6 linked regions of the Coturnix japonica genome follow. The protein of the gene in region 1 interacts with the protein of each later gene in a pairwise test. Links are inferred from orthologs where the notes say so. Each region holds a gene or a part of one and is shown on either strand. Other genes may lie near its edges.

What was found. The genes of interacting proteins can lie anywhere in the genome.
Region 2: the proteins of LNX1 (region 1) and DDX17 interact in binary tests that used the Homo sapiens proteins (3 or more experiments, as listed by UniProt). The two-hybrid records come from large-scale screens. The link is inferred for Coturnix japonica from reciprocal best matches to the Homo sapiens genes LNX1 and DDX17.
Region 3: the proteins of LNX1 (region 1) and SRSF1 interact in a two-hybrid assay, tested with the Homo sapiens proteins (3 studies listed by BioGRID and IntAct). The link is inferred for Coturnix japonica from reciprocal best matches to the Homo sapiens genes LNX1 and SRSF1.
Region 4: the proteins of LNX1 (region 1) and KLHL12 interact in binary tests that used the Homo sapiens proteins (3 or more experiments, as listed by UniProt). The two-hybrid records come from large-scale screens. The link is inferred for Coturnix japonica from reciprocal best matches to the Homo sapiens genes LNX1 and KLHL12.
Region 5: the proteins of LNX1 (region 1) and zinc finger and BTB domain-containing protein 8A interact in a two-hybrid assay, tested with the Homo sapiens proteins (2 studies listed by BioGRID and IntAct). The link is inferred for Coturnix japonica from reciprocal best matches to the Homo sapiens genes LNX1 and ZBTB8A.
Region 6: the proteins of LNX1 (region 1) and C1QTNF1 interact in a two-hybrid assay, tested with the Homo sapiens proteins (2 studies listed by BioGRID and IntAct). The two-hybrid records come from large-scale screens. The link is inferred for Coturnix japonica from reciprocal best matches to the Homo sapiens genes LNX1 and C1QTNF1.

What each region holds. Positions count from the first base shown.
Region 1 is NC_029519.1:59,314,798-59,319,060, forward strand, and holds the end of LNX1 (E3 ubiquitin-protein ligase LNX), read left to right. Parts: intron 1-266; coding exon 267-425; intron 426-1,308; coding exon 1,309-1,444; 3' UTR 1,445-2,961; downstream 2,962-4,263. Other genes in the region: FIP1L1 (pre-mRNA 3'-end-processing factor FIP1), read right to left, coding at 3,066-3,213, 3,897-4,034.
Region 2 is NC_029516.1:46,422,455-46,427,613, reverse strand, and holds the start of DDX17 (probable ATP-dependent RNA helicase DDX17), read right to left. Parts: upstream 3,172-5,159; 5' UTR 2,854-3,171; coding exon 2,810-2,853; intron 1-2,809. Other genes in the region: DMC1 (meiotic recombination protein DMC1/LIM15 homolog), read right to left, coding at 4,286-4,355, 5,121-5,159. UniProt on the Homo sapiens protein: As an RNA helicase, unwinds RNA and alters RNA structures through ATP binding and hydrolysis.
Region 3 is NC_029534.1:7,445,993-7,451,392, forward strand, and holds the start of SRSF1 (serine/arginine-rich splicing factor 1), read left to right. Parts: upstream 1-2,229; 5' UTR 2,230-2,385; coding exon 2,386-2,579; intron 2,580-2,922; coding exon 2,923-3,107; intron 3,108-3,464; coding exon 3,465-3,637; exon of another isoform or gene 3,638-3,906; coding exon 3,907-4,101; 3' UTR 4,102-5,400. UniProt on the Homo sapiens protein: Plays a role in preventing exon skipping, ensuring the accuracy of splicing and regulating alternative splicing.
Region 4 is NC_029541.1:902,708-907,361, reverse strand, and holds part of KLHL12 (kelch-like protein 12), read right to left. Parts: intron 4,180-4,654; coding exon 4,065-4,179; intron 3,224-4,064; coding exon 3,117-3,223; intron 2,229-3,116; coding exon 2,033-2,228; intron 1,652-2,032; coding exon 1,493-1,651; intron 1,389-1,492; coding exon 1,290-1,388; intron 757-1,289; coding exon 570-756; intron 374-569; coding exon 247-373; 3' UTR 1-246. UniProt on the Homo sapiens protein: Substrate-specific adapter of a BCR (BTB-CUL3-RBX1) E3 ubiquitin ligase complex that acts as a negative regulator of Wnt signaling pathway and ER-Golgi transport.
Region 5 is NC_029538.1:4,571,845-4,577,209, reverse strand, and holds the start of zinc finger and BTB domain-containing protein 8A, read right to left. Parts: upstream 3,172-5,365; 5' UTR 2,359-3,171; intron 1,782-2,358; exon of another isoform or gene 1,434-1,781; intron 1,317-1,433; 5' UTR 1,295-1,316; coding exon 358-1,294; intron 1-357. UniProt on the Homo sapiens protein: May be involved in transcriptional regulation.
Region 6 is NC_029533.1:4,623,161-4,628,241, forward strand, and holds the start of C1QTNF1 (complement C1q tumor necrosis factor-related protein 1), read left to right. Parts: upstream 1-1,910; 5' UTR 1,911-2,274; intron 2,275-4,623; 5' UTR 4,624-4,637; coding exon 4,638-4,777; intron 4,778-4,892; coding exon 4,893-5,032; intron 5,033-5,081. Other genes in the region: CANT1 (soluble calcium-activated nucleotidase 1), read right to left, coding at 1-93, 288-927, 1,688-1,777.

The DNA.
Region 1 (4,263 bases):
GTCACAACTAGAACATTTCCATTAAATCCTACCACGTGAACCAACTGATTTATTATTAAATTCAACATTAGTTGCTATTTCACTGCTAGGATAACGAGTGGTGGAAAGCAGCACTGAAGTAAAGAAGGAAACAGCAAGTGTTTAATACAGGGGAACTTCGCTGTCATTTCACATCTTCAAAACGCTTTGTGAGCACAATGAAGTGGCAGATGCCTCATTAATCCAGAGTTAGCCATGAGACATTTAATCAGACTGCTTTGTTTCAGGTATTTGTACAGCTGCAAAGAAATCGTTTTACGAAGAAACACATCTGGAAGCCTCGGCTTCAGCATTGTAGGAGGCTACGAAGAGCACACTGGGAACAAACCTTTCTTTATCAAATCCATTGTTGGGGGAACACCAGCATACAACGACGGAAGAATCAGGTAATGAGAAATGCTACTTCTCTTTCATCCTGATATTTTATTTTTTAAACAAGCTTTGCTTGAATGCTGTAAATGGGGAAATAAAAGGAATCCCCTGACAGGTAGGAAGACGAGCATACTTAGTATTAACAAACTAAAAATTCACCTTCTCACTGGTGACAAGTGACAGGAAGAGGGCAAATGGCCTCAAGTTGCGCCAGGGCAAGTTTAGGTTGGATATGAGAAAGAACTTTACAGAAAGGGTAGTTAGGTACTGGAATAGGCTCCCCAGGGAGGTGGTTGAATTGCCATCCCTGGATGTGTTTAAGAGCCGTTTGGATGTGGTGCTCAGGGATATGATTTAGTGGAGGGTTGTTAGAGTTAGGGTACTGGTTAGGCTGTGGTTGGACTTGATGATCTTCAAGGTCTTTTCCAACCTGGGTAATCCTATGATTCTATGATTCCCAGTGAGCTCAATGGAATACAGAAGCTCTGAAAACAGGACACGAGTCCTAAACATATTTACTGTCATTGTAGAGTATTACTGGATGGCCTTCTTAGCAGTCTCCAGTATAAGTAAGTAAAAGATGCATCAGTTTGATTTCTAGGGCACTAAAAAGAATGCCAGCAGAGAAGCTTTTCTACACCCCCAGCTCAAATGAAAGCCAAATCAATACTGCACTATATTTAAAAGGGGATTACAAGAAGGAGTGGAATCAACTTCTTCTTTGGGTAGACAGTGATGGGACACTCCTCTGTGTTGCTCTGTTCCCTTATTCATGGACAGTGGTGAACCTAAGAAGGAATGGTGACACTTCTACCCAATGAATGGCCATCCTGTGGCATTTCCCAAGGAGAAGTGCCCTCATTTAAGATTCCCTTGTTTTGCCTTTTCTTTTCTCAGATGCGGCGATATCCTCCTTGCTGTCAATGGCAGAAACACATCAGGAATGATGCACGCCTGCTTGGCAAGGATGCTCAAAGAACTGAAAGGAAAAATTACTCTCACGATTGTCTCCTGGCCTGGCACTTTTTTATAAAACAAATCTTGATGGAGATTACAAGAAGGAATTTAACACAGAAGAAAGGCAAACAAAAACAAGAAACACAACAGATGTCGCCCATCTTTGCTTTTTGGGAGGCCAAATATGTGTTTATAAAGAAACGGTTTGTGAAATTTCAACCTGCATGTCAAGAAAAGCCAAGTTTAGACAAAGCAAGGACACACGTCAAAGAATCACTTCAGAGTGATTTAAGCTACAGACTTAAGTCATTCCTTCCCCACGTTCTCAAGCTTTTTTTTTGTTTGTTTGTTTTTTATATATCTATTTAATGCGTTATAATAATAATGAAATTTAAGGAGCACCACCTCCTGCTCACCCACTTTATTTTGATTTAGGAAAAGAAATCCTTGAATAATCTATGGAAAAAAAATCCTTGCAATTTTTGTAATTGCAAAAAAATCAGGTGAAGGTTTTTATCCACCACGTGAATAGCACTTTGGTTCTGTGTACCTTTTCGGGTCAGCATGAAGCTGATATTTTCAAGACTTTCAAGTACCGTTTGTTAGTCTGTAAAACTGTGAATTAAATTTCTAAAGTTATTAAAAATAACCATTCTTGTGTGCTTGTACAAATATTATTTTCACCCAAAAGAAAATGAAACGGTACCCTGACAACAAGGTTCAACTTCTGCCGTGCTGCCATAGCACTCTCACGTGTCACAGTGCTAGAAGGTAACCTGAAAGCAATGATGGCCTTGTTTTCTTACAGCATTCTTTGCCTTTCTCTGCAAGATACTCATTTTTCAAACTCTTATTTTCTTTTCCTCCTAAAAGCCAGCAATGCAGAGAGGCGGCGTTTGTTCATCTTTTTCATGTTAAGCACAGCTGTCCCCTAGAACAGAGACTAAAATGAACTTTCTCTTAAGCCACTGAAAGGCAGCAGAAATGATTATCCAGTTTAATTCTTCCTTATGCGCCCACACAAACCAGATGTAATTACCAAGTGTATGATCACCGCACTCACCCAGTGTTCCATCAGACTGAGAACAGTCAGCACCTTTCCCCTTCCCCTCTTGTTTTCATTACGCTTCACTATAAAGTTGTTGAAGATTCTGCAATTTCTTCCTGTCCCTGCAGTAAAGGATGATCTTTTCAAATGTGACCTCCAAAAGCAATACTGAACTCACACTGTTCCAGATGTTGGTGTATAATAAAGTGAGCGCACACTGCTTCTAAAGCCAGCAGAAGAATGACCTTCCCCACCGGCTTATGAAAAAAAGGAGACGATCTAATACAAAGAATTTAATCCCTACGTATGTTGAAAGAGCATCATTCTTTAGCTGTAAGAGGTTTTCTCATTGCTTCTTAGAAGGGAAAGTCAGCTCAGGAATCTTAATGTGAAAAATTTATTCTTTTATTTTCAAAAAAAAACAAACAAAAAAACAAAAAATAACCCAAACAAAACCAAAACAAAAAACCCAACAGAAAAAAAAACAAAAAAACAAATGAAACCAAAACAAAACCCAAGTAACTTCCGCTTTTGTACTAACAGAACAAGATTAAGAACAAATTACTTTAATAACCAGAAAAATAACAAGATTTATAGTAATCTATTTCTGGCACTAATATAGATGCAAATAGGCAAAAATCACACAAGCCTATTCCACGGGGGCAGCTTCAGTGTTTTCTTGCTCAGGAGCAGGTTCACTGCTGGCTTCTTTTCCTTCTTTGCTTCGTTTGGATTTTTTGTGTTTGTGCCTTCTGTGGCTGTCTCCTTCTTCACTGTCGTGGCGGCGTCTGCTGTTACTAAAGAGAAAGAGGGAAAATACACCTCAAGTCATTGCATGACACTTCAGGCCCCCCTTCATGAGAGTACTGAAAACTACAGCCTTTGTGTTCATTCTTGAAAACTGGCTCCTGCTCTGTCTCGTATGGTAGCTGGATATCAAAATCAAGCTGAACTGTTTAAGTAGTGGTATGTACATTCACACACCCTGTGATTCTTTACTGCGATATCTGAATAACTTTTAGATTTGCAGCCCATATTCTAATAGTAATAATTCTAGTTATGTCACATCCCTAATAGTATCCTTAGAACATTCTTATATTCATCCCCTTCCCCTGAATTTCTAATTCAAAAAGGATCAAGATGAACAATTCCTATGGAGTGAAAATAAGATCTACTTCACAAAGTTCATGTGTTAATGCTGATGAATGTCAGCTTCACTCTACCTCTTTCTGACCCATCATTTTACACTTTTTCCCCCAAATTCATAATTTCTGTTCACTACCTAAGGCAGTCACATGCATCAATATGAAGTTACCCTGCACCAACACTGTTTATTGTCTGTCCACATTTTATATTGCATACTTGTTTCAAGTAGTACATTTAAGTGTTTTCCACAGAACTCCAGTTTGTTTGGGGCTCTTTTAAGAAATTATTTTTTTAAGCTGGTAAAGTCTTTAGTATCCTATTAAAAAACTCAAACCTTCGAGATGATTTGTGTCTTGTATCTTCTTTCTCTCTGTGTCTCCTCTCTCTGTGTCGGTCATCTTTCTCTCTGCTTGTCCTATGGCGGTCGTAGCCTCTTTCTGCATAGTCTCTGTATCTGTACCGTTCTTCATCACTGGTTAAAAGAAGATCTTTTCAGGGCAGTAACACTAAGAAGTACATATATATACATAAACGTTCATACACTTTTGAGAAGAGTGACAAAAACAAATAATCTTCATGTTGCTTCTGTGTTTCTAAACCAAATCCACACCCTATATTAAAGGATATTAAAGCACTTTGCCTCATACTCCAGACTTACCAAGTCTTACAGGAAGATACAACATAACCAGGCTTATTTTGAT
Region 2 (5,159 bases), on another chromosome or scaffold:
CTCTAAACTGCTTCCCAAAGGAAATGACAAGATGACAAAGAGACCAAAAAGCAGAACTTGAACATATTAACAGGAAGGAGTTACACTGTCGGAAAATGCAGGGCAGATATAATTTAACTCAGAGCCAAAGTAAATTCCAATGTTTGTTTTGCTGCAACTGTTTCATTGTATCTCTTCCCAGTTGTACAAATACCCCTTATTCTCACCTCCTACCTTCACCAGGTTCCCCACCAGCACCCTTTGCAACCAGCTATTTTTGTCACAGGCCAAGACCATAAAATGCAATTTGAAAAGTTACTTCTAAGCAATAAGTTTCCTTCTGGAACAAAGGATAAACAACAATTGCACAGATCACTTCCAGAAACATCCTGCTCTGCTGAAGATACCTGCTGCTGACCATGCTAACTTGAAGTCCAAATGGTAACTACTGATGTAACCAAGCAGTTCTACCAAAAGGCACAGACATCCTTATTGGACTCACTGGAGAGCGAGAGGAAAAGCTGACTGTAAGACTGGACCCCAAAACAGCTGAGCACTCTATGTGCTCCACAGCTATCCAGAGGGAAGAACCCATACACAGAGGGTGGTGGAGCACTGGAACAGGTTGCCCAAGGAGACTCTGGATGCCCCATCCCTGGAGGCATTCAAGGCCAGGCTGGATGTGGCTCTGGGCAGCCTGGTCTGGTGACTGGCAACCCTGCACACAGCAGGGGGGTTGAAACTGGATCATCATTGTAGTCCTTTTCAACCCAGGTGATTTCGATGATTCTGTGATTATGAATCATACGCTCTGACACAAGTGCGGCAGTTCCAGTTCTCCATCCCCACAGGCAATATATGGCTGCACACTGACCTGAAGGAAGCCAACCCTGCTGCCCTCCTGCAACAACCATCCCCAGTAACCTGGTGGGAACCACCCAATTCCAGCTCTGGTCAAGATGATTTAAAACTAAGATTACTTCACCGATTTCACCTTTCAGTTAAAGAGAAATTCAGACTGACCCAGAACATTCCTTTCTAAAGCTACTATGCCACAGATTCTGGGACACAACTAAGAATTTACTACATTCCAGAGCAAAACAGTACAGCTGCCTATCCTAAGCAGTCACCTACAGCTCATTACAGACAGGAAGAAAACTGGAAGCCTGGATTTGTTAGCTGAAGGAAGAGTCAGCACTAGGAAGGTGAAGAACTTCTGAACACGGCATCCTGGGTGGCCCCACATTCTCAGAGAAATTATTTCTGAATTGTGATGCTTGTCGGTGGCTGAATCTTGATACAGTCAATCTGCTGTAATAGGCCAAGAAAACAATTTTCCATGCAGATGTCCAAAATCCTGACAAATAAGGCACTCCTTCCTTACTTCGTACATCACATCCGTGATCTACAACAGAAGAATCTACAAGCAAAGCCCTCCTGCAGAGTATGACGACACAAATGTCATGCATGCTAAGCATTGTAACAACACTCTGCACAGTGTTACTTTAGGTAACTCGAAATAAATCTACACACTCAGATACGCTCTCTAAACTCCAAAAGCAGCTGGGCCTGAGTTATCTCAGATTGCCAGAGCATTGACACTGATGTCCCTGCGTTGTGCTCAGCCGGAAAGCTCATGGTGGAAAAACACAACCCTCCTCCCTGTGAAAAAAAGTGAAAGGATGCTTTAAGTTCAGAGTGAGAAATGTGGGTGCAAAGATAAAGCCTAAATGCGACTATCTCCCTCCACAGACGAAGAGAAACTAAATGTTAAAGTGGATTTCGATGCATAAACAAAATTTTCCTCAATCTGTCATTGAGAAAGAGGAGGAAAAAAAGACAAGCCATGAAAAATAGTATTGCTATGGCAAACTAGACCTAAAATGTAACAAAATCTATACGATACATTTATTGTTAATCATTGAGAAAGGAGGCCTAACTACTAGCTATTAAAAGAATAGAAAATGCCACTGTCCTAAACAGGTTTCCAGTTTCTCTAGGATGACTCTTATTGCTTTTAACCCTCAGGAAGAAAACCAAGTAGCGAACCATTTAAATACTATAATATTATCCTATTGCTGCCATCCTTAGGAGTCAAACCTACAAAACCCTTTCCTAACTTAACTAGCAAGACTGGAAGCACTAAGCACTAGGCCCAAGCCACGGCAGCCAGACAGCTCCCACTCGATTGCTCCATCAGCTTGGTCATGCTAAGGCTGGTCACGCTCAGCTCGGTCGTGCTTGCTAAGCACAGCCCAGGCCATGTTTACAGCTACTGGCCTCCTGAGCACGCACGCAGCTCAGTGGCAGCTTTCACTCTCATTTCCTCTCACGAGAAGGGCCCTTCACCAACTGCCATCTTCTGAGGGAGCTCCAAAGGAGCAATGACAGCATGAAGGGCAGCGTCAGGGCCACAGAGATCCCCGTTCACGTTTGGTGGGGGGGTGGCAAGGGGGGGGGAGGGGAGAGGTGGTTGGTTAAAGGAGAAAATAACTTAAGGATATGGGGAAAAAAGGAAGAGGTAGGCCTTAGAATTGCAAGCTTGGCACGTTACTAAGAGTAAATAAAAACAAAGCCACCCCTTGTTGCCAAAGCCATAATAACACGGCCCCAAATCCCCTCAACGTGAAAAACAGGGGTGAAATGTCCGTCCTCTCCCCCAGTGCCCCCTCACGCTCCTCAACACCGAAGTGTGAGGAGAAATCCCCCCTCCCGACCCCTCCCCTCGCCCCCCCAGCCTCTCCAACTGAGGTGAGCGCTCCTCAGCCCCCCCCATCCCCCCTTCGCGTCCCCCCGCCCTCCAGCCCGGCCTTCCCCGTCACCCCCTTACCCGCCGCGGTCTCGGTCGCGCCCCCGGTCCCCGAAGCCCCTCATGGCTCCCGGGGGGGTGGGCGAGAGGCATCGGAAGGCCGGCCGTGGTGACGGCGAAGGGCTGGGGGTGCGGGGCGAGGGCCCGGCCAACGCCGGCTGGGTCTCGGAGGACTCGGTTTGCGCCACCTCGGCTCTCGGGAGGGACACAAACGAAGAAGAAGTGGTCAGTGGGTCAGAGACCCGCTGAGCGTCAGCAGAGGGAACGGCGGGGCTCTCGGTCGGCTCCAGGGCCCGTCAAGTGTGGAGACACTCGCGTCTTCTTCCTCCGGGCTCCCGGCACAAAATGGCCGCCGCCGCCCCAACCCGCTTCACTTACGTTACGGGCGCCCCGGCGCTGCGCAAACTGCGGCTCTCGAAAACGCCTACGTTAATTCTCGGAAGCCAACTACGCCCTACGCGCTCTTGGCGGAACACTGCGCCGAACAGAGAGCGATATACGGAGATTGCGTAACAGTCTACGCTTCAGAAGCCCCTGCGTGAGGCGGGGAGTAAGGGGAGTATCGCTCTTCTTATTCCTCAAAGTCTACTACGCAAGGAGCCTACAGCGTAACCCCTTCTAGAGGGTAGGGAAAAGCTAGGCCGAGGCGTACGTTACGTAAGCGCACGGCGTACGCAGCTTGCGTAACTCAGGCTGACGTAGAGCAGGAAGAACCCGACGTTTTGCGTAAAATTCTTCCGCGGGCTGTGCAGGAAGGGCTGGCGGAGGGTCGGAGGATTACGCTGATCGTTCAGCGTAGCGGCGCTTAGAGAATGCGGCTGTTCGGCCGGGCGCCGGCTGCCGCTGTGGAGGAGACAATAAGGGCGGTGCGGCGGAGGGGGGTGCGGGGGGCTGCGAGGGCCGGGTGGGCTCGGGGCCCCCTCACAGGGCAGGTTGTCAGGGGGCTGTGGGCTCAGCACACGGGCAGCAGCGAGAGGGGAGGCAGCCATGATGTGTGCTTTGTCCTGGCTGCGAGACAACGGCTTGATGTGCCCCACACGGGTTGTGAAAGGTTGGGTTGTATCTGGCTTGGGGATGAGTGAGAGTGGGGCTGGAGGAGAAGCACCCAAAGACACACAGAGTGCTGTTCTCGTTTTAGGTCTTTATTATTCCCTTTAGTATAAACAACTTTAGGTCATTCTCTTCTAAAAGTGCTTCAATAAGCAATCTGGCCGACGTGAAAGTATTCCAGGTATTTAATTCTCTTCTTCCACACATGGAGTGCCGCAAAGCTCCTGGGCTTGTTGTTTCCATCAGCTATTTATTGCCAATTAAAAAGAGAAGACCCCAAATGAACCAGCTGAATAACACTGAAGCACACACGGTTTATCCCAAACACCTCTCAAACGATTCCAAGCAGATAAAAAGCAGCCAGGGGAGGCAGCGACCTGGAGCAGATCTTCATCCCAACGAAGCGCCTTGGTGGTTAACAGCTGTATGTCTGCATGAGGTTCCCACTTATTCTTTGGCATCTCCAATCCCTCCAGGAGTTATTGCAAATGTGGCTTCATTTTCGGGCATCTCAGGACTGGAGGGGAGGGAAGAGGGGGGAAAAGAGAACCACAAGTGTTAAATGGAACGGTCTGCCAAAGGTTTAAAGTCAAAGCGACACGGGATACTTCAATATGTGACGTGCATGATGTCATCAAGATGAGAAAATGTGAAAGGCAACTCTCAAGATGAGAAACTCAAGTGAGGGGAAAGGAGGAAGCGTGGGAGAGATGATTCTGTGTGTGCAAAGCTGTCTGGCCCGTTTCAGCTGGTGGCCAGGAGCAATGGCCACTCAGTTCTGCTTATATGCTGTTTAATACTTGTGTCTGCCCCAGCTCAGCCTGTAAACTGACACCCCACTGAGGGCAGCAAAAGTGAGTGATGGAACAGCTCTGGAATGTTCCTGCCAAGGGACAACCCTGGCTCTGGGCAACCTGGTCTGCTGGTTGGCGACCTTTGCACGTAGCAAAGGGGTTGAAACTGGGTGGTTGTTGTGGTCCTTTTCAACCCAGGCCATTCTGTGGTTCTATGATTTGATAGTCTTCATGAAGAGATCAACATCTAGTGGGATTTATGAGGTTACATAACGTAATACATACGATATGTGAGACAACTTGGAATCTACCGATCTAAATCTACTGATCACTGTCCTTTCAGATGTTCTCTCAATATACCCCCCAGATGCATGGTTCATTTGAAACCACCAATCAGTTCACAAGCTATTAAGTTTCGGTGCAGTGAACTTTGACACCCCGCTGTGTTCATAATGCAGCTTCTTAACTGAAGAGACACACAGCTTTACCTGTCGTATATCTTTGCAATACGCAGCTCTCCTCTCCCT
Region 3 (5,400 bases), on another chromosome or scaffold:
AAAAGCAGCTCTGGAAATGCAACCCAACATTCTGCAGCTTATCCACATGCTTTAAGTGCTCCACTGATAACACAGAGCTCAACAAGGGAATGAGAAAGAAAACATCCAATAATTCTATAAAGAGACACTTCATTAAAGCAATTAAGGCAATCATTTAAAGTAGTTATAAGGACTATTAACACACAAAAGAAATTGTGCAGCAGGGTTTTAGCAAACCAGGCAGATTCACCATTATCTTATGACGCCTTTAAGAATAACATCCAGCATTTATTAAACCCCATTCCCAGGCTTAGGCTGCAGCTTTCTCCAGACATGGGGAGAGTTTGTTTGGGGTCTTTGCAACCAGTTCACACTGGAAAGCATTAAAGCTCCATAAAGATGCAGGAAATCCCCCAGAACCATGAGCTGTATGTGGGTAAAGCACCGCTTCTGCTGGTGGGCTTTGCTCATCACATCCTCCTGTGGTTGACAGCAGTCTTTAAAGCACCAGCAATGCAGCACAGGCATCACTAATGTCAGAAACCATTAGAGCAGAGGACGTTACTGCACTTTAACCCACAGGGACAAAAATAAAAGGCATTGATAATAACCAAGCACACTATAACTTTGTCATGAAAATGTTTTCACTATGGGATGTTTTCTAACTGTAAGTCACTGTCTGTGGGAGGAATACACGCTTTGAATTAACAAATGAAAACAAAGTGAGCACAACAGCCACTGCTAAATGCTCGGACACATTCCTCAAACTCCCCTCATCAACTCAGGAGCATAATGGCTTTTCTCCATGCTCAGCTGCTGTTTCCCCATCCCTGTGGTGCTGAGATTCAGCCCTCCAGCACCAGGCAGGCTCAGCGGTGCTGGATGCAGGCAGGCAACCACTGTGTGCCCCAGTGCCACTTCCAGCCCTCAATGCATTGCCACATCTGCAAAGCAAAGCACAACGTCCAGGCAGCCAAGTGTGAGCCAACAGAGCAGGGACTGCTCTGCCCTCATGGGTCAGGCAAAGACTTTATGCTGTATTAAAGAAAGAAAAGTGGATGTTGGAGTTTCTGTGTCACCACAGAGCAGCTACAGGCCAAAAGAATTCTTGTTGTTAAACCAAAGCCTGGCTCATCTAATTGCACCCTCATTACTTAAAAGCAATTTATACGTTCAAAATTACATCTGCTGCCTGAAGAAATGTCAGAGACGTGTGAGTAACAAGGGTAACATCCCGGTGTGTTACTGTGCCTTCACATCAATTACAACCTCATCAAGAAAACAAACTCAGCACGGCGTTATTCTCGTGCCCCCATAGTTCGGCTGTGCTCATAGGAAGGTTCTGCCCATAGTTAGGCTGTGCCCTTAGGCCGGCTCTGCTCACACCCGTACACAGCGCCCGCCATCGCCCCCAGTTCCGCTCGTTTCCCACCCGCCCGGTGTTTGCACTGCTGTTCCATTCATGACTCAGTCCCCATCACACCCTGCCGTGTTCCTGCCCTTTATTCGTATCCCGTTGCCGTCCCGCTGCCCGCCCCGCCGCGTTCCCCTGAGGCGGGCGGTGACGCGGTGCCCGCTCCGTGCCCTCGGGGCGGCCATTTTGCCTCCGCACCGAGCCCGTCCCAACCGTCCCACACAGTGTCCGCTGAGCGGCTGACGGACCCACACGGCCCGCTCCCCGTGCACCCCGTGCAGCCGCAGGGCGGATCCGCCCGCAGCGCTTCGTGCGGACACGGATCGGTTCGGACCGGCCGGGAATGGACGCTCAGTACCGAGCCCGCCCGCCCAGCGCTGCGCACGGCCCGACCCGCCCGCGGTGCATTGTGGGCCGGGCCACGCCCCGCGCCTTGGCGCCAAGAGCCCCGAGCGGCGCGGTGCATTGTGGGACACCCCCAGCGCCGGCCGGGACTTCTTGGCGCGAGCGCCGCACCGGAAGTGACGTCACACGGCCCGGCGCCCTGAGACGGCAGCGGAAAGAAGCGCGGCGGTCCCGGTGCGGACAGCGGGGATCGGAGGCGGATATTCACGTTCATCCCGACCTCGCTGGCAGGAGCGGAGCCTCTTGTGCGGCCACAGCCGCTTTGGCGGAGCAGCGGAGGCGAAAGGCAAAAGAGAGGAACTACTTTTCCGCGCTGCCGCGCATGCGCGAGGGCGAGAGCGCGGCGGGATACTCGGAACGCATTGCGGTCTCGCGGCCCGGCGGTGCTGCGGCGCGGGGTGAGAGAGATCAGTGCGCGAGATCAGTGCGCGCTGCGAGCGCGAGGGGAGCCGCGGTCGCCATTTTGAAGCGGCGGTTGCTGGAGTCGCCGTGTCCGCTCCCGTCCGCACGGCCCGGCCCCGCGCCCGCCCGCCCGCCCGCGCTCCGCGCCCCGGCCCCTGAACGCCGCAGCCATTGCCGACCTCGGCATGTCCGGAGGGGGCGTGATCCGCGGCCCGGCCGGCAATAACGACTGCCGCATCTACGTGGGCAACCTGCCCCCCGACATCCGCACCAAGGACATCGAGGACGTGTTCTACAAATACGGCGCCATCCGCGACATCGACCTGAAGAACCGCCGCGGGGGGCCGCCCTTCGCCTTCGTGGAGTTCGAGGACCCGAGGTGAGCGCCGCGGGGCCCTGGGGCACGGGCGGGAACGGCTCCGCCGGGCGCCGATACCCCCCCCCTCCATTCCCTCCCTTCCTCCACGCGCGGCGCCGCTCCCGCTGCGCGCTATTCCACACACACACACACACACACACACACACACACACGCTCGGCTCGTTGCGCTCCGGGCCCGGCGCGGTGCCGCCGCTGGGGGTGGCGGTGATGGCGGTGATGGTGGTTGTGGTGCTGATGGTGGTGGTGGGGGCGGGGTGGGGCCGCGGGTATTGGGAACAAAGGCGCTGCGGGGGGCGGCGCGTGGCAGGGCGCGGCCGCGCTCACCGCCCGTCCCGACCCGCAGGGACGCCGAGGACGCCGTGTACGGGCGGGACGGTTACGATTACGATGGGTATCGCCTCCGCGTGGAGTTCCCTCGCAGCGGCCGGGGGACCGGCAGAGGAGGCGGCGGCGGCGGAGGGGGCGGAGCCCCGCGGGGCAGATACGGCCCCCCGTCCCGGCGATCGGAGTACAGAGTGATCGTCTCGGGTGAGTCGCTGCTCTCTTCCCCCGGGTCCTTCGTGCTGCCGTGCGCGGGGGGCGACGCGGCTCCGCTTTTCCCTGCGAAGCCTCGGGATGGGGGAGGGGTGCTGGATGCTGTGGGCTGTGTGCAGGGTGTTCTGCTCGTGTGCTGCGGGATGATGCTGGAATTGCAACACCGGAGGCCTTGGGTTCGAATCCCCTGTGGCGCAAGTGGCAGAAGTGCCGCTCTGCTACACAGAAGGCTCAAATCGCGGGGGGTTGGACTCGATGATGTCTAAGGTCCCTTCCAACCCGCACGAGACTGTGATACTATGATATGATCGCACCATTGGGTTTTAAAGCCAGGTGTTGCTTTTTATCCAGGACTGCCTCCAAGTGGAAGTTGGCAGGATTTAAAGGATCACATGCGTGAAGCAGGTGATGTATGTTATGCTGATGTTTTCCGAGATGGAACTGGTGTCGTGGAGTTTGTACGGAAGGAAGATATGACCTACGCTGTGCGAAAACTGGATAACACTAAGTTTAGATCTCATGAGGTAGGTTTCACGCTTACTTGTTTTTGGCCAGAATTGGATACAAAGGGCTTAACAGTAGGATGTGAAGGTAAGGAATGTGTGGTGATCATTGCGTTAATACACGAAGCAGCTAAACTGAGTCTGCTGTCAGTTTGTCACGAAATAGACTTTATTAAGAGTTTGATGTCTATTTCTGTGCCTTAGTAAAGATATCTGCAGTCTGTCAGCATGCCTAAAACGATGGCCCCGAAGCCTAGACCTTTCAATCGAAAGTTGTGTCTATTCAATAGGGAGAAACTGCCTACATCCGTGTTAAAGTTGATGGTCCAAGAAGTCCAAGCTATGGAAGATCTCGGTCACGCAGCCGTAGTCGTAGCAGAAGCCGTAGTCGAAGCAACAGCAGAAGCCGCAGTTATTCCCCAAGAAGAAGCAGAGGATCTCCACGCTACTCTCCCCGCCACAGCAGATCCCGATCTCGTACATAAGCGATCACTAGCTCTGATCTTTTTGTAGAACCCCATGTTGTACACAGTTTTCCTTTACTCAGTACAGTCTTTCAATATTATTTTTTTTTAAATTCAAGCTGTTTTATTCAGATTGGCTGAAGTGTTGAATTGCATTCTTGTGTAAAATCCCTAGTGAGTATTTGCTCCGTAACAACAACATTCCCCCTCATGTCTTTGGTAAACTGTATTTTAATTGATGTCAGTCAGGATTGTTTCAATTTAGTTCTAGTTAAATACCAACACTCTTCAAACTGTGGTATTGCTGTGTAAATGTCTCAGTGTTCAGCTATGGTTCATGCGAGCTGGGGATGTTGGGATGTTTGTGGCTAACTTGTCTCTTCTGGGGGATCTTATATTTTATCTTGCCTTTTCGTGTGTCTTTCTGTAGACATATCTGAAGAGATGGATTAAGAATGCTTTGGATTAAAGGATTGTGGAGCACATGTCAATCATTTTAGGATTGTCAAAAGGAGGATTGAGGAGGATCAGATCAATAATGGAGGCAATGGTATGACTCCAAGTGCTATTGTCACAGATGAACTTGGCAGTATTGACCTTATACTGAGACAGGTGAATTGAGAACGTGCGCCTGCGTGTCACTTCTTCAGGCACCTCTTGGTCACTGCGGGCTGCAATTGCTCTGTTCTTTAAAACCCTCTTGGCAATTGTGGCTCAGTACTTGCCGGTGTAATTCCTTATTCCATTCTAGTCTTTTTTTAAAGGAGTAAACCGGGACAGGGGTGGGAGCATTGGTTTGTCCCGCGGCATTTGGTTCCAAGCGTTAACGGCCCGCAGTACTTCCACGCTTGCGGATCAAGGGTATCTTTAAATGGGAGTATAATATCAATACTGCTAAAATCTGCATGTCCTCTGTGTGACTGATACAGCGTTGCTATTTCATTTCTTTTAAGTATCAGAATGAAAGGGAAAAAAGCCAAAAACCCAAATCCTAAGAGAACCTGGTTGGGAATCGTTTGTCAGCCCTTCCCCAGCCTAATTCAGAGCTGACTCACCGTATTGAGAGCTGCAGTTAGTTCCTCTGTTACCTTCCAGCCGGGGGTGCTGGCCGTAGCTGAGAGGCGCAGTAGGTGACAGCTTTAGCAGTAAAACTTTTCCAATTTCATAAACATTTTTTGCAACCACAGAAGCTGTAGAGCACCACCGTACGAGCAATGAGTATGTTGGCATTTTTAGTTGACATATGTAAATATTGCAGTGTTTCCTCCAAATAATTAACGTTTCTTAAAGAGAACAAAAGATATAGCATCACCATTCAGA
Region 4 (4,654 bases), on another chromosome or scaffold:
AGAGAATGCAGCTTCTCTCGCCCCACTTCACCGCCTTCCTCCAGCTTCACACAGAGCCCCTGATTTCAAATGACTGCTGAGATCACATGGTTATGCACATGCTCAAGTCAAAGCAGCACAGAAAGCTGCTGTACTGGTGCCTACTTCCACAGCATCCACAACTCTCAAAAACAGTCACTGCAAATCATTGGGGACTCTTCGTCCAGCAGACACTCGTGGGGATGTGCTTTGTGAGCTCTCTGCACATCACTTCTCCCGCAGGACACAGACCCCGGCGTCGCAGCGCTGCATCCCCAGGGAGGTCACCACTTCCCAGCTGTCGATGATGGGATCGTAGCACTCAATGCTGCTCAGCAGTGAGTTGCCATCGTACCTGAAGGGACAGAAAGTCACAGCTGAGGGGTGCTGCCACAGAGAGGGGTTGAGATGCTCAGAGTCCTCCCAAGTAGTCTTGATGTGCATTCAAGAGGCTGAATGCAACGCAGCCATGGGTTGTGTCACTTGGAGTCACTCGCCCCTCTTGCTGACACACAGAGCACCTTCCCCTCCAGCCCATGGCCATCTCTTACCCAGCGATTGCATACAGCCTTCCCCGCAGCACGGTGGCCCCCACGTAGCAGCGGGGGGTGGTCATGCTGGTTACAGTGGTCCAGGAATCAGTGCGGATGTTGTAGGCTTCCACAGAGGAGAGATGCGCCGTCCCATCGAACCCACCAACAACATAAATGTGGTCGTTCAGCAGAGCAACTCCGGCACCTGCAGGGAGAGGACACAGGAGTGCTGACAGTGCTGTGCCTAGTGCTGTAACTCTAACCCTGCCAACTTCTGCTCAATTTCCAGTGAGGGGGAGCGAGCAGCTGCAGCCAGGGCAGCAGGAGCAGCATGAGGTACTCAGCCTGCAGCCAGCCTGACAGCTGTGCCTGTAAGAGCTGCTGTGCTCAGCTGCCCCAGTAAGAGCAGTAATGCTGTTGGCCGAAACTGGCTACACAGTGGCTCAAGTTGTCAGCGTAATGCTGTCCTAACAGTGCTGCTCTCTGCTGTCCTGGATGCCCAGGAGCTGAGCCCCAGTGCTTGCCTGAACACCCCTCACTGACTGGGCCCTGCAGCTAACAAGTGCTGCCTTCACACGCTGTCCCATCACATTACATACGTTAACTGTGTTGCCTGCTCCTCACCAGTTCCTAATTAGGGCAGTCACAGACTTCCTCTCCCCACAGCCCATAAAGTCACACTCACACTCCTTTATGGATCCTCCTCCTGGGGAGCTAAACCAGCACACAAGCTCCTACCTGAGCGCTTAGTGGCCATCGGTGTGACGTTCGTCCAGTGTCCCGTGTGGGGATCGTACCTCTCCACAGAATTCAGTATGTTCAGCCCATCATAGCCGCCTGAAACACAAGAGAGGAGCAAACTGTGCGCCATCCCAGCGAAGCATGGCACAGCTTCCAGGGTCTGCTTCAGGATCTGCATGTTGCTGCCTGCGGGCACCTACCGAGGCAGTAGATAACTCCGTTGGCTACAACGAGCCCCGCTCCTTCCCGTGCTGTCTGCATGTCTCCCAGCATACTCCACTGGTCAATGTTTGGGTCGTAGCGTTCCATGCTGGTGTGGCGTCGGCTCCCATCAAACCCACCAGAAACATAAATCATATCTGCAACGACAGAGCAGGGGTGGGCTGAGCACAACGAGCACCGAATGTGCACGTGGAGCACAAAGGCCTTCATAGACACAGCAAACCTACAATGTGGACTGCAAAATACAGCAACCACAGCAGAACTTGGCATGTTTGAACCTGAGAGAAATGCAGACTGCTCACCCTCACGGTATCAGCCTGCCTGCAGATCAACCAACCAAGCCCAGAACCCAGCCAGCCCTTCCAGCTGCTTATCCACCATGAGAGCTCCTCCTCCACAGCCCCTCCTTGAGCTCCCATTGCTCAGAGCACAGTGGCACAAAGAATGGAGACACAGCAGAGGTGGTTTCCATTGTTGTAGCCAAGCAAAGAGCTCCAACGATCTGCCCCAGGATGCACCTCCCAGGGTTGTGGCTCCTGCCAGCCCGCGCCGCACGTTCATGGGTGCTACGGAGTACCAGATCCCATCCTCATCTGATGTGTAATCCAAGCACTCCACGGAGCTGAGGCGGGAGCGGCCGTCGTAGCCCCCGATGACATAGATCCGGTCATGCAGGGACACAGTCGCGACGTAACGCCTCTTACGGGTGATGCTCTGAAATGAGGAAGGAAAACAAAGGGTCAAGGAGAAGAAACAACCCCCCGTGTGTGCAGAACAACTGCTGTTCTATCCCATTTTTGCTGCTTTGTTGGAAGAGGCACCTCAAGGCAGAGGCAGATGACAGTGTGGATTTCAGCAATCCATCTCTGGCTGAAATGCACCAGGACTGCATCTGCTTTCTGCAGCTTCTGCTGCCCGGGTCTCTTTGAATGCACAATACTTTTGTACAATGTCAGCTTATCTCCTGTCACTGCTGAATCCCTGGCACATCCTGGAGGTGTGCATGCCTCCCACCGCTCCCTGTCAATAGGGAAACGTGGAGGCTACAGAGATCTGCTGGATGCAGCTGAAGCTTTTGGCCTCCCAAAAAAAGAACTGAATTTTGGGAGAGAAAGCAATGTAAGTTCCCTGTGATTAGCAGTAACAAAGGCCTGCGCTGCTTCCTACTGGTACAGCTGCTTCTAAGATCGCACTGCAGAAGTTATCTCTAAATAAATCCCTTCCCACTCAGACCCAACGTGAGCAGGGATCACGCAGCCTGCTGTGCTCACAGCAGCACTGACCCCAGTGCTCCCACTGACACCCCAGATGCCACCTCCAAACTTCACAGCTCAACGCCCCTTGAAGACAAAACATGCTGCCCTTCAGCTCTCACTCCCACAGCACAGATGCAGCCTCTGCAGGTTCAGCCCAGCAAATAAGGCAGCAACCTCTCCCACAAAGCTTTACAAGCAAAGTGATTCCAGCGTTTACTGCATACACCTCCACAACCCAAATGAACTGAGGACAGCCCAGGGAAGGTTATGTGGCCAGTAGCACACGATCGATGTTTGATGTCAGCGTGCCTGTTCTGCTCAATGATGGTCAGAAAAGGTCCCTTACAGGCAAGAAACTCCACTCGTGGGTCTTCGGGTCGTACTTCTCCACAACATCTATGGGTGACTGCTGGCTGCCAAAGCCGCCGATCACAAGCAAGACTTCATTTGCTCCTGCAGCAAAGAGGGAGAGCAAAGCCACATCAGCTGGTGTGCAACCATGGGCGCAGAGCTGAGCCCTGTGGGCATCATGCAGCACAGCCACTGCAGTCCATCCAGGAAGTGAACAGGCAACACGAGGGCGTGTGCTGAGAGTGCTCCTGACAGCAGTGCTATCAAATTGTTATACAAAAGAAGGCAGAATGCAGAAGGTGGACCTTAGAAGCAAAGCGCACAATTTTCACCTGGATAATGATGTGAATTTGTGACATTCCCTTTATCAGCTGAGGCATTTCGACCCAGAACAGAGCACAATGCCTCTCTGTAAATGGTGGCTTGAGCTGAAGTGGATGTCCCTGAGCACTGATGTGGGGTGTTCCTGGAAAAACAGGAGCTGTGCTGTGGGTGGACTATGTTGGAGGTCGAAGCACACCGCACTGCCTTCAGGACAGAAATTACTCACCATGCCTCTCAACAAACCAACCTGCCCACCTCCCAGCTGCCCTTCACCCTCCCACGTTCCCCATTCCATCTTCCCTCCAGTGCTGCCATCTCTCACCTCACCCTGTGAATTTCTGACACTGATAACCACCTTTTAGAAACTCTGCCCACACTCCTGGGACGGCTGCATGCTCAGACAAACCCATCTGGGAGCACCAACACAGGAGCAGGGCAACCAGCTACTCCCTGTGCTGCCACTCGTTAACAAGCCACCCTGTCCTGCACTGCTGTCCCCCTTCTATGCCACTGTGCACTGCAGATCAAGAAGTCTTTGTTGCAGAGCACCACAGCACTGCATGGCACACACAGCTCCTGCAGGTCCCACAGCTACTCCCGGCACCTCCACACCACTCACCCAGACGGGCTCTGGTCCTGGGTCCCTGCATCTGGCTCCGGAGCTCAGGACGGAGATGGAATTTCTTTGCTTCATCGACGAGGTCTCTGCACTGCAGACTGCATCGGATGAACGGCTGCAGAAAGACAGCAGTCACTGATACCAGTGGTCTGTGCTAAGATCCCCCCAGAGATGCCATGGGACTGTTCTCATACAGCTCATCTCTCGTGGCACTGCAGATTACAGGATAAAATACCCTACACTGGAAAACTGAGGAAAATAGGATTCTGCTACATGTTAGCCAGTGGAAACCCAATTGAGGAGGGAGCAAAGGCTGAGTGGGCCTGGCTGGGTCTGCCCCACAGCGTCAGCTCAATATGTGACTGCCAGAGACACAGCATGGAGCAAAGCCCAAACTGCGCTGCTCTGTATGGAACACCCTGCTATGGGCGGAACTCAGAACAGGGAAGTCTCCTCCAGAAGCAGCTGTGGGCACAGCAGCCCTAAGCATTGCCTCATGTCCTCCTTGTTCCCCAGCTGGGCCTGGGCCAACCCCCCGCTGCAGCTCCACATCCAGTTCCCTGTGGGTGTTCAATACCATGTGCTGCTGC
Region 5 (5,365 bases), on another chromosome or scaffold:
GTTTAGTTACTCCAGTTACTGAAAGCAACAGAAACAGAACAGAAAATGGCTTCTATTTTAAAGACATTGTAGGTCTTTTCAGATACAGCTCTTGTGTAAATTACAACATCGAGGGAAAAGGAGCGGGGCTATCAGCAACATTACAGTGAGAATAACAAACCAAAACGATCGTGACTGTGTAGCTCTAAGACATGAAGAATATGTACTTTGCAAAGCTCAACTTCACTCATTCATCACTCTCCAAGTGTTGATCTCAGCTTTCCAAGCCTACATCCCTGAAAACACAAAGCCTTTCTGGTAAATGCTCCTTCAGCACTGTGTGTTTCTCACTGACACAGCACGGAGACCCCCTCCTACCTTCAGCCCAGCCTCCCATCACACCTACAATGGAGGGCATGCTGGGGTACTGCTCGTCTGCTTTTGGAGACTTGGATTTGCTGGAAGGACGGGGCGAGTCGCGCTCCTGCTGCGACACGGCTGAGCGCCTGGAGATCACATCGGAGCCCTGGCCATACTGAAACCCCACGTGAGGAGATTCCGCTTCTGCCTCAATCTGAACCTGGTCCTCAGGTTGAGAAATGTGGCCAGCAGGCTCAGCAGCCCTGTCCTCCAGTTTGCTGGATTTATAGTGTGGAATGTCAGCGGGTTGCTGCAGTCCCGGGTGTCGGGATTTCTTTATGGCATCCTGCCTTTGCTCGTGCTTGGACAGCTGCTGCTGCGTGTTTCTTTGAGAAGCTGGATAGTAGTTGAAGTTGCTCCAAGTGTTTCCCCTCATACACGTCCCTTGCTCTGGGTTTGGCTGTGGATGTGGGGGGCTGCTTTCTGCCCTCCAGCCCGCGCCGTACAGACACGGCTGCTCCCCGCCATTGGAATTCACCTCCTTGTCTGAGAGGCTGAAGTATCGATCCTTCTCCTTCTCACTGATGTCCAGAGACGACTTGATGAACGTTTTACACACGCTGATAACGTCGGTCATCTGAAGGTAACTGGCGGCCGACATCACCTCGATGACGTTCTGACCAGTGAGAGACAGTTTGCCCGAATACACAAAGTCCAGAATAACTGTGAAAGTGTCCGGAGAAAACGCCTGGAAGGTGGCGGTGGTGGGTTGAGTCATTTCCTTGGAGCTCTGCGAGAGCAGCATCTTGAAGTACCCGCTGCTGGCAAACAGCACATTGCGGTGCGCCCTGAACACTTTGCCCTCCACCAGGATGTTGCAGTCACAGAACAGCTCCTGCCTGCGCTGCTCATTGAGCTGCTCCAGGAGGTGAAACTGGTGGGACGAAATCTCCATCCCAAAGCAGATGTGCTGTGCTCTAGGAAACAAAGGGATTAAAACAAATTACAATCGTGAATTCCACGTTGCGCTGCTCGCCAAGGCCGGCAGACCCCATTTAATGGATATTCTGAAAAATAATCTTATTGAAACACACAAATATATTTGAATTAAATATCCCAATATCCACCACCAGGCATTGCTGTTCGAAAAGGATGGAACGAGTCCATGTGAGGCTGCCTGTGCTGTTTGGCAGCGATGTCAGAGCTCCGAATGAGCAGCAGCAGCATCCTCAGATGGAGGCTGAGAAACGCGGCGGCACCGTTCAGCCGTTCACCGTCATGGCGAGGAGCCCAAGGAGCCCGAGGAGCCCGAGGGAACCGGCAGAGCTGCGGCCTGTGCCCGGTGCTGCCGTTCCCGCACCGCCCGAATCCGGCCGGGCTCGAATCCATCCCCGCCCGAGGGACCAGAAACGGGAACTCGGCTCCGGCCTCATCCCTCCCGTCCCGGGCTGCCCCCATTGGCCGCCGCCGCCGCCACTCACCGCGCCCCGCCCGCACCGGCCGCCGGCAGCCCGTGACGCCCGGCGGCACTGTGCCCGCCCGCCAAGGCGCGGAGCCGCCGCCCGGTATCGGCCGCGATGCCGCCCCGGGGCCGCCGCCCCCGCTCCCGGTGCTTTAACACGGAGCGGCGCCCTCGGCCGCCGTCCCGCGTGGCGCTGCCCTCGGCTCCGCTCGGCTCCGTGCGGGACGCGCCGCCCGCCGCCCCGTGGCCCCGGCTCCGCTCGTTCCCGCCCCGCTCCCGCCGTGTCCCTGAGCCGCCCCCGCCCGCCCCGCCCGGCTCAGTCCCACTTCCCCCCCCGCTCTCCGCTCCCGCGCCGCCCTTTGTTGCCGCGCCCGGTTTCTCTCCTTCTCGCCCGGTTTCTGGCCGCCAATGGCGCCCGTTGGCGCTGCCGGGGCTCCGCGGCCCGCCCGGCTCCCGGCGGCGAACGGCGGCACGGCCGGACCGCGGGGCTGCGGCTCCCGGCGCCGTCCCGCCCGCAGCCCCGCACACGGGCTCCCTCCGCCCCGGCCGCCACTCACCGCCGGGTTCCGCGGGCGGCTGCCGCTCGCTCGGTCGCGATGGAGGCGCGGGCGGAGGGTGCGGGGTCCCCGGCTCCGCTCGGGCCACGCTCAGCGCCCCGTTCCCGCAGCCCCGAGCCCTGGAAGCCCGAGCGGGAGAGAAACAAAAGGTATTTGCTGACGTGGGCGTTGGACACGGACGCCCGAGGGCTGGGGACACAATTAAAGGGGCAACGCACCGACTGCAGCCACAGCCCAGCAGCTCCCGACGTCTGACCGCCCTGCAGCTCGCGCCGCTTCCGTCCCGCACACACACACGATCCGTCCGGGTGGGGCTGCGATGTCCCGGTTGTTTCTCACACCTTTATGTGTAACACGGGCCCAAATGACCCAAATCCTTCCTTAACGTATCTGCAGCTTCCCCAGGAGGAGATGCGATGTCTTTCCTTCACATCTCAGTTGTCTTTGGAAAAAGCAGCACAACGCCTTCAATCAACCTCCACCTCTCGACTTCTCTCGCTCCAAGTTTGACACCCTTCACCTTCCTCTTCTTACCACCAGCGTCTTTTCTCTCCTGACCCTCATTTGTTAATCATCCCTTGTCCCATGTTCTGCCTTAGCTGTATCCTCGGTTCCTTTCAACCTTCCCTTGCATAAACTTCAGACATTCCATCTTGAATCAATTTACGTTCCTTTCCCCATCGTAGCAGAAGCAGGAAGGCACCTAAAGGCTTTTTCCTCCCCCACTTTCATTCTCGCAGTCTCTCCTCTCTTCACATTCAATTTACGTCCATTTATGTTGGATCGTTGTATTTCCCCGCTTTTATTCCCCTTTTTAATAAACTTCTGTTGTTTTCTCAGTTCTGTCTCATTTCGAATTTTGCTGTGCAGGCCACACTAAAAATCCTTCATGTGTCTGTGTTCTTTCAGAAAGAGAACAGAGAGATGACAAAAGTCCAGCACAGCTTTGCATGAATTCCTATGGGGCGTGAGCCAGCCAAGGCAGGGAAGAATGAAGCAAGTGAAATACATGGGAATTTATAAAATCACATCAGGATCAATAGGAAGTGATTGTCAGCTGCTGATCCTGGTGTAAGGGGAGGTGACGGCAAATGAAGCGATAGCGGTTGGCAGCAACAGAGCAGCAGGATGTGGTTCTTCACCTGACATAGGCAGGCACAGGAGCTCCTTGTTGTGCAGTTGTGGAAGCGAAATGTGAGCGTTACACGAGGCAAGGGTACAGCTATTGAGACCAGGGTACAGCTATTGAGACCAGGGTACAGCTATTGAGACCAGGGTACAGCTATTGAGACCTGTGAGTTACCTGCCATGCACCTCTGTAAGCCTCCATGTCTGTAAGAGGAGCATTCAGGTATTAGTGCTGCTAAACGCCTCTTGTTTCCTCGCACAGAGCAGGCAGCTGTTGTGAGCAGGACAACAGGGCAGATGAACTCGTGTTTGTCCTGGTGTTACAGCCCAGCTCTGCAATCCCTGAGTTCACAAAGCCCTGGACAGTGGCTGCCAATAATCCATGTGCCTGTCGGTTCAACTAAGCAGCACCACTTGTGTATATGACATCCTACATCATGGTTTCCCCCCACTTCCATATCCCAAATAGTTCTTGTACTGAAAAATTCCTTCTGAAAAGAATAGATTGTGGGTATTTGTTCTGCACGACCCAGCTGACACTGCACAGACCAGGTGCTTTCCTGGCGATACCAGAGGGCACCGAGCTCAGCAGTTTTATCAGTGCAAGCAGGAGTTTAAGGGTTCTCCATCGGCTACAAAGAGGTCATAGAATTTTAAAACTAGGGGAAAAATGCTGTGATATCTCGAGTAAACAAATCAGATCTTTAAACCTGATACGAGTGCTCAGAATACTCAGAATAGTTCAGGAAACGCCCAGAAATTCACCCAGTGCAGCTGGGATCACAATGGAACAGAATGGGGGTTTTCTCAGACATCAGGACTCGTTTCGCCCTGTGCTGCACAGCAACACATCACAGCCATTCCAATGCTTACAAAATAACAATAATAATCAAAGCCAAAGCAACCCTCTGAGAGTTTTATTTTCTAGACAATCAGAACGCTCCAGAATGCTCCGAGATCCACAAATATACTTAAGTCACTTCTACAGGTAAGGTAAGATCGATGAGAATTGGTCACTTAAAGTGGGCAAAAGGACTCCAGCTATGAAAGTGCCATAAAACATCAGTAACGACACAACCACATCTGCAAGATTTACAAGGTCTCGCACCAACAGGTAGAACGCACTATGGACAGCAGTGCAGCACGTGATCCTCCTGCAGTCTGTGTGGCCTTTAAGAACTTTGAGGAGATTACAGTAGAAATGAGTTTTGTAGAACCATTTTTCATTTGTTGGTTAAGCACCACGTGAATGTTTTATAACAGCTACATCGCTGCCTCGCAGCTTGTGGAGGCTGCAATTACAGTGGAAGGTTTCAGGAAAACATCAAAAACCGGGACGGGAAGCACAGCAAACACTGACATGAACATTCGGGCACAAGAACGTGGATCAACTCCATCCGCTTCTATTGAATACAAAAGCTGAAGGACTCAGCTGAAAACAAAGCAGCACAACATGACAGATCAACAGGAAACATCGATTCTGGTGCTCACTTTCGATCTGGAACACGAACAGCACAGCCCCCCCCTACTCAGAGTCACACAAACCATAGCACAGCTCCGTTCTCTATGCACAAGACACACAAGAACAACCTCTAAGACCAAAGAAAGCAGATTGCAGGAAAATTGCTGGAGGTCTCTGCAGTTATTCCTGCAGCTTTTACTACAGACTTTCACAAGAGCTTCACTTTCCCTCCTCTGAACGTCTTTCAGTTTCAGAGTTGGCTGCGCTGCTGCTCAGCACAGCTCAGTGGGGCAGGATCAGCTCCTGACAGCTCCACACCACGCTCAGCTGATCCCAGCTCTCGTCGCCTCTATTTACAATGACTTGGCGTCGTCATGCTAGAAGGACCAGTCCAGCTGTGCTGTGATGCCTGGTCAC
Region 6 (5,081 bases), on another chromosome or scaffold:
TCACCACCTCACCCGTGGTGGTTGTCCACTCCTTGCCCAGGCCCCCCACGTACAGGTGTTCATCTTTCACTGCCAGCCACTCTGCCTTGAAGCCTGCAGTGGAAAGAGCAGCATGGGCCGCACATAGATGTTAGGGTGCTCTGCAGTCCACACAGCCCCCTCAGCAGCACACAGTACTGCACACAGCCCCCCCAAACCCTGCAGGATGACAAAAAGGTGCCAAGAGACAAAGCTCCCCCACCCTGTGTGTGCAAGTCAGGCAGCAAACAGGGAATTACAGGGCTCACCTTTCCCCACAGTGCCATCCCCATCCGACAGGATCACCCAGGGCACCGCCTTGTTGCCCTCGATCTGGTAGACCACCCCAGTCCGGTCATCCACGGAGTACAGCTTCCCATTGAAGACAACCAGCTCCGACAGCTCCATGCCCCTGCCCTTTTCCGCCAGGTGGGACTGCAGCACACTCTCCTCTTTGTCCCACTCCACCATCACACTGTCCCCGCTGGCCGACAGCACCAGATAACCCTTCTTCAAGTAACTGAACCAGGTGTGCTCCTCAGAGCCCCGGGACTGAGTGTCCAGGTCCGCAATGACCCCGATTCGATAACGCACACCCTCGGGGTTCCTTTGGGGTGGGGACAGCGGGTAGGTGTCATTATAGCGATCCTCTGCCTGCAGCCAGAGGTGCCGGCTGTGGGGGTTGGGTGGGACGGGCCGTGCTGGAGGGGAGCGATGCAGGCAGAAGAGCAGCAGCACGAAGCCCACGCAGGCGGAGGACAACACGATGGCCCTCCAGCGCAGGCGGAACCGGGGGTCGGCACCTTTGGTCATGGACGCGAGGACGGGCAGGCTACCCACGCTGATCCGCAGTGGGCTCATAGACTCATGGCAGGGCGGCACGGGCATCAGCCTGCGGGCGAGGAGAGCCTGGCAGTGAGAAGAGAGCGGGTGAGAGCTGCAGCCCAGCGCTGTGCTTGGGGATAACGGCGAAGCACAGTGTTATGTGATGAAGCAGTGGCCCTCAGAGGGCTGCTCTGCTGCAGGAGCCCTTCTGCCATGCTCATTCCCTATTGACCCCAGATAAGAGTGAGCCCATGGCTGTGTGCTGGGTGTCCTGATAGCAGCATCCTCACCCAGGAGGAGGAGGGCACTGGCTTATGGCTGCACACGTGGCAGCCCCGCCCGAGCAGGATGCTGACACCTGAGCAGGAAGTGCAGTGCCCGGCTGTGCGGGATTACAGCCATACCAACCCCAACCCCATAACTCTATGATGCAGCAGCCGCTGCTTCCCGGTCACATCTACCCCTGGATAAAGCTGCACTGTCCCACCGTGCCCATCACCGTGTGCCCCCACTCTGCCCAGCCCCGAGGATACCGGTTGCCCCCCGGTCCATGCCGTGCCCCCCCCGCAGTGCAGCGCTCCCTTAGTCCCTCTCAGCCCCTTTTGGGCAGCCCTGGGGGGCGGACAGAGCCGGCATTGAACGACCCGGCATTGAACGGGGAGGTCCGGCAGCTCCGCACCCCCCTGCGGCCTCCAGCCGTGCCCAGCCCCCCGGGCAGCCCCCTCCCCATTACCGACCACCCCGGGCAGCACCGCACGGCCCCGCACAGCCGTCACCCCGTCAGTCACCCCGTCACCCCGCGGTCTCTCCCCCGCTCCCCGCCGCCCCCGGCCCCGTCTCTCACCGCGCCGCCTCCCGAGCGCAGCCGCCTCCACCCCGGCCAACAGCCACCGCCTACAGCTCCCTGCACCCCCAGCGCTTCGCTACGGCACATGACAGAGGCCAAACTAACGCTGTATGAGCACTGAGAACTACAGCTCCCTGCAGCCTCCGCGCTCTGCGCTCGCTCTCATTGCTCTATGGGGTGCTGCGGCTCCATGCTGTAGGACAGACACACAGACCCCACTATAGAGCACAGCTGCATCCCCCATGCACTGCCCTGCACGCTGCCTCTCACATCTGCAGCTGCTTTATGGCACAGCCCCCCACGTCCCCCCGAGGCCGGTGCTGGTTGTGGGGCTGCTGCTGGCAGGCATGGGGTGCACACATGGTTAATGCTGTCTGCTGCTGGGCCCACATCTGGCAGGGGGGGAAGGGCTGCTCCTCTCTCCTCCTTTGCTTTCCAGAAGTGCATTTCCGCCCGGCCATAGGAGGAGAGGAGGCTGTCACAGGGGCAGGCTCTGCCCCACAACGAGGGGGCAGGCAGCGCAGCACCACGCAATGCCCTAAGCAGCAAAGGAAGCACGGGGAGAGAGCGGCCCTGCCCCGGAGGTAGGTGTGGGGCAGGGCTGGGGGTCACCTCTGGACACAGGGATGAGCGCTGTTGTGTGCACATCTGTGTGTGCCACTGGGCTCTGTGTGGGCTCCCAATGTGCAGAGTGCCCGGGGGCCTGGACCCCCACCCTCACTGTGGGTAGTCAGGCTTGCACCCTGCCCCACATGCAGGAGGGTGGTGGGGATTGTAGGGTTAAAACCTCACGTGTTGTTGGAGGGGCACAGCTCAACCTGCAGCAGCACTGGGGTGGGGAGTTAGTGCCGTAGCTCCAGCTTTGAGCCCTGCAACCAAAACACCCCATGGACACATCAGACTCAGCACTGGGCCGCCCCAGGGCAGCTCTGCAGGGACTGGCGGCTGCTGGTGGGAGCACAACTTCTCATCGGTGCTGCTGGGTGCAGTGGGAGCTGGAGGGTTGCGACCTCTGTCATTCTTTGGCTGCTCCATGCAGCTCCCACCCTGCTGCCTGCTGGGGCTGGGCTGCTCCTCTTCTGCAGGCAGCTCCACAGATGTCCCAGCTGTTATGGCAAAAAGGAGGGGGGTGGTGGGGGGCTTATCTCCAGATGTCAGAGGAATCCTGGCTGCAGCCACAGCTCAAGGAGGACCGTACCCATAGCTGGTGAGCAGGAAAGCAAGGTGGGCATGCTGGTCCTGCTGCCTCTGGACCCCCCTGTGTGCCCAGCCCCTTTGCTCCTCCCCCAGCATTTACTCTTCTTTCATCCTCGCCTTTAATGCTGCCTGGAATGTTTTCAGGATGTTTTGACTTGCAATCCCAAGGCTTTAAGCAGCCACTGAATTTCAGTCTCCAAACCACTCCTGGACAGCATCCAACCCCTGACAGGAAAAAACAGAGTCCCTTCAGCAAGGCTCTGTATATGCCTTTGCAGATACGCGTGCTGCCTGCCCGGCGTGCCTGCGGGGTGCAGAAACAGACGTGCTCAGGGTCTGGGAACTCTGCATGCTGCCCACGGGTACACCATGCTGCTGGCAGCACTGTGTGTGCATGGCACGCTCGCCTCCATTTCCAGCCCTGAGACAGCCTGGAAACGAGCTGCTTTTCTAAGTAGGAACATCCTGGCTAAGGATTTCTTCTCCCTGCTGAGCAGTCTCCTGTGAAGCTTTGCTTTCCCTGGGGCTAAGCCCACTCAGGGTCCCAGGGAACAGTCTGGCTCCATAGGAGAACGGCACAATGTGGGCCCAGGGCAGGGGAAAAGCTGTGGGTTCCCAGCAGCACAGCAGGTTGTAAGCTGTGCTCACCAGCATATGGCTGACACAGCTGGAGCAGAGCAGGGAGAAGAGAGCCAGGGCTGAGCTCCCACAACGGTATCTGCTCACAAGCCCTGGGCTGGCCTGTTTGTGCTGCTTCTCTCCGGCACACAGAGCTGAGTGTGGGCAGGTGGCAGGCCATGGTGATTAGGCTTTGGTGCCAGGCTGCCCTCGGTGCCACACGGTCCATGGTGCCACCAGCCCTGCTGCCAGCAGTGGGCAGCAAGCTGAGGACAGCCCCGCTCCAAGACTTTGGGATAGGGTGGGTGTGGGGGGAAGTATGTGAAGGGATGGGCCCTTTGCAGAGGGCTGGCGCAGAGGGAAAGCCCTTTGGAGCTTTTCCCCATCCCTCCGCCCTTTCCCTGTTCCTTGAACATGACTCATGAGCCAGGCATCCTGGCCTTGAACGCCCTCTGCTCCCGCTTCTGGAGCATGCCTGTCCTGGTCCACACAGCCCACAGACCCCAAGGGAGTCCCACCCTGACCATCGCTAACCCAGGACCCAGGCACTGAAAGCAGCATTCATCAAACTGTTGGGTTCTGCCTCCCCAGCTCACACCCAGGACACAGACTGAGGCACAAGGGGCCCTTTGCAGACTTGGGCACACAAAGCTTGCCGTGCTGCCATGGGTGTCCAGCAGCAGGGAGGTGCCACTTGTTCTCCTGGCACCTTTGGAGCCATAGGGCGCGGTGCAGTGTGCTTGCACCATGCCTCAGAGCTGATATGATAGTGATAAGGCGAGGAAGGGCTGGGCTGCACTGCCACCTGCTATCACTGATGTTAGCTTTGGCCCCAAACAGGATGTTGGCTCCCGGCTGCTAGGGGCTGGCTTGTGGACAGAGCCACCAGCAGCACTTGAGGCTCAGGAGAAGCAGCTCAGGTTCCCTTGCAAAACCCACAGAGAACCAAGGCATAAGGACTGGCAGAGAGCCCCATAGCCGGGCTGCTCCTCTGCTCCCATGCTGTCTTTCCCCACCAGCCCAACCCAGCTGTAGCACCCTGATCCCCACCTGCTCCCTGCCCCCTCTGGACACTGCTGGGCTTTGCCATCCCCCTCAATCACTCTGGTGTCTCACAGGGTGCTGCTGCAGCATGGAGGGCCTTTGGGCACTCAGAGTCCTGCTGCTCTCCTGCCTGCTGCTGCCCAAACCTGTGTGCAGCCAGACCAGCCCCAACCCTGACCAGCATCCAGCAGAGCCTGAGGAGTCCCCATCCAACCATCAGACAGCCAGGTGAGGGGGCCCTGGGAACAGAGGTACTGCCATTGGGATGGGGCAGCCCCTGGCACCACGAGGGGCCCAGCCCCCATGTGCAGCTCCTGTTGTGCTTTGCTTTCTGCCCCCCCAGGGCCATGCAGGAGCAGAAGGACAGCGGTGCCCAGGAGGGGCTGCCCCCACAGCCCCACTGCGTCCGCTGCTGCGAGCCACCCAAGCACCACTTCTCCTACCCCCAGTACCAGCCCCAGATCAACATGACCATCTTGAAAGGTGAGGGCTGTGGGGCACTGCCCCCAACCAGACCTACAGCCCAGCACCT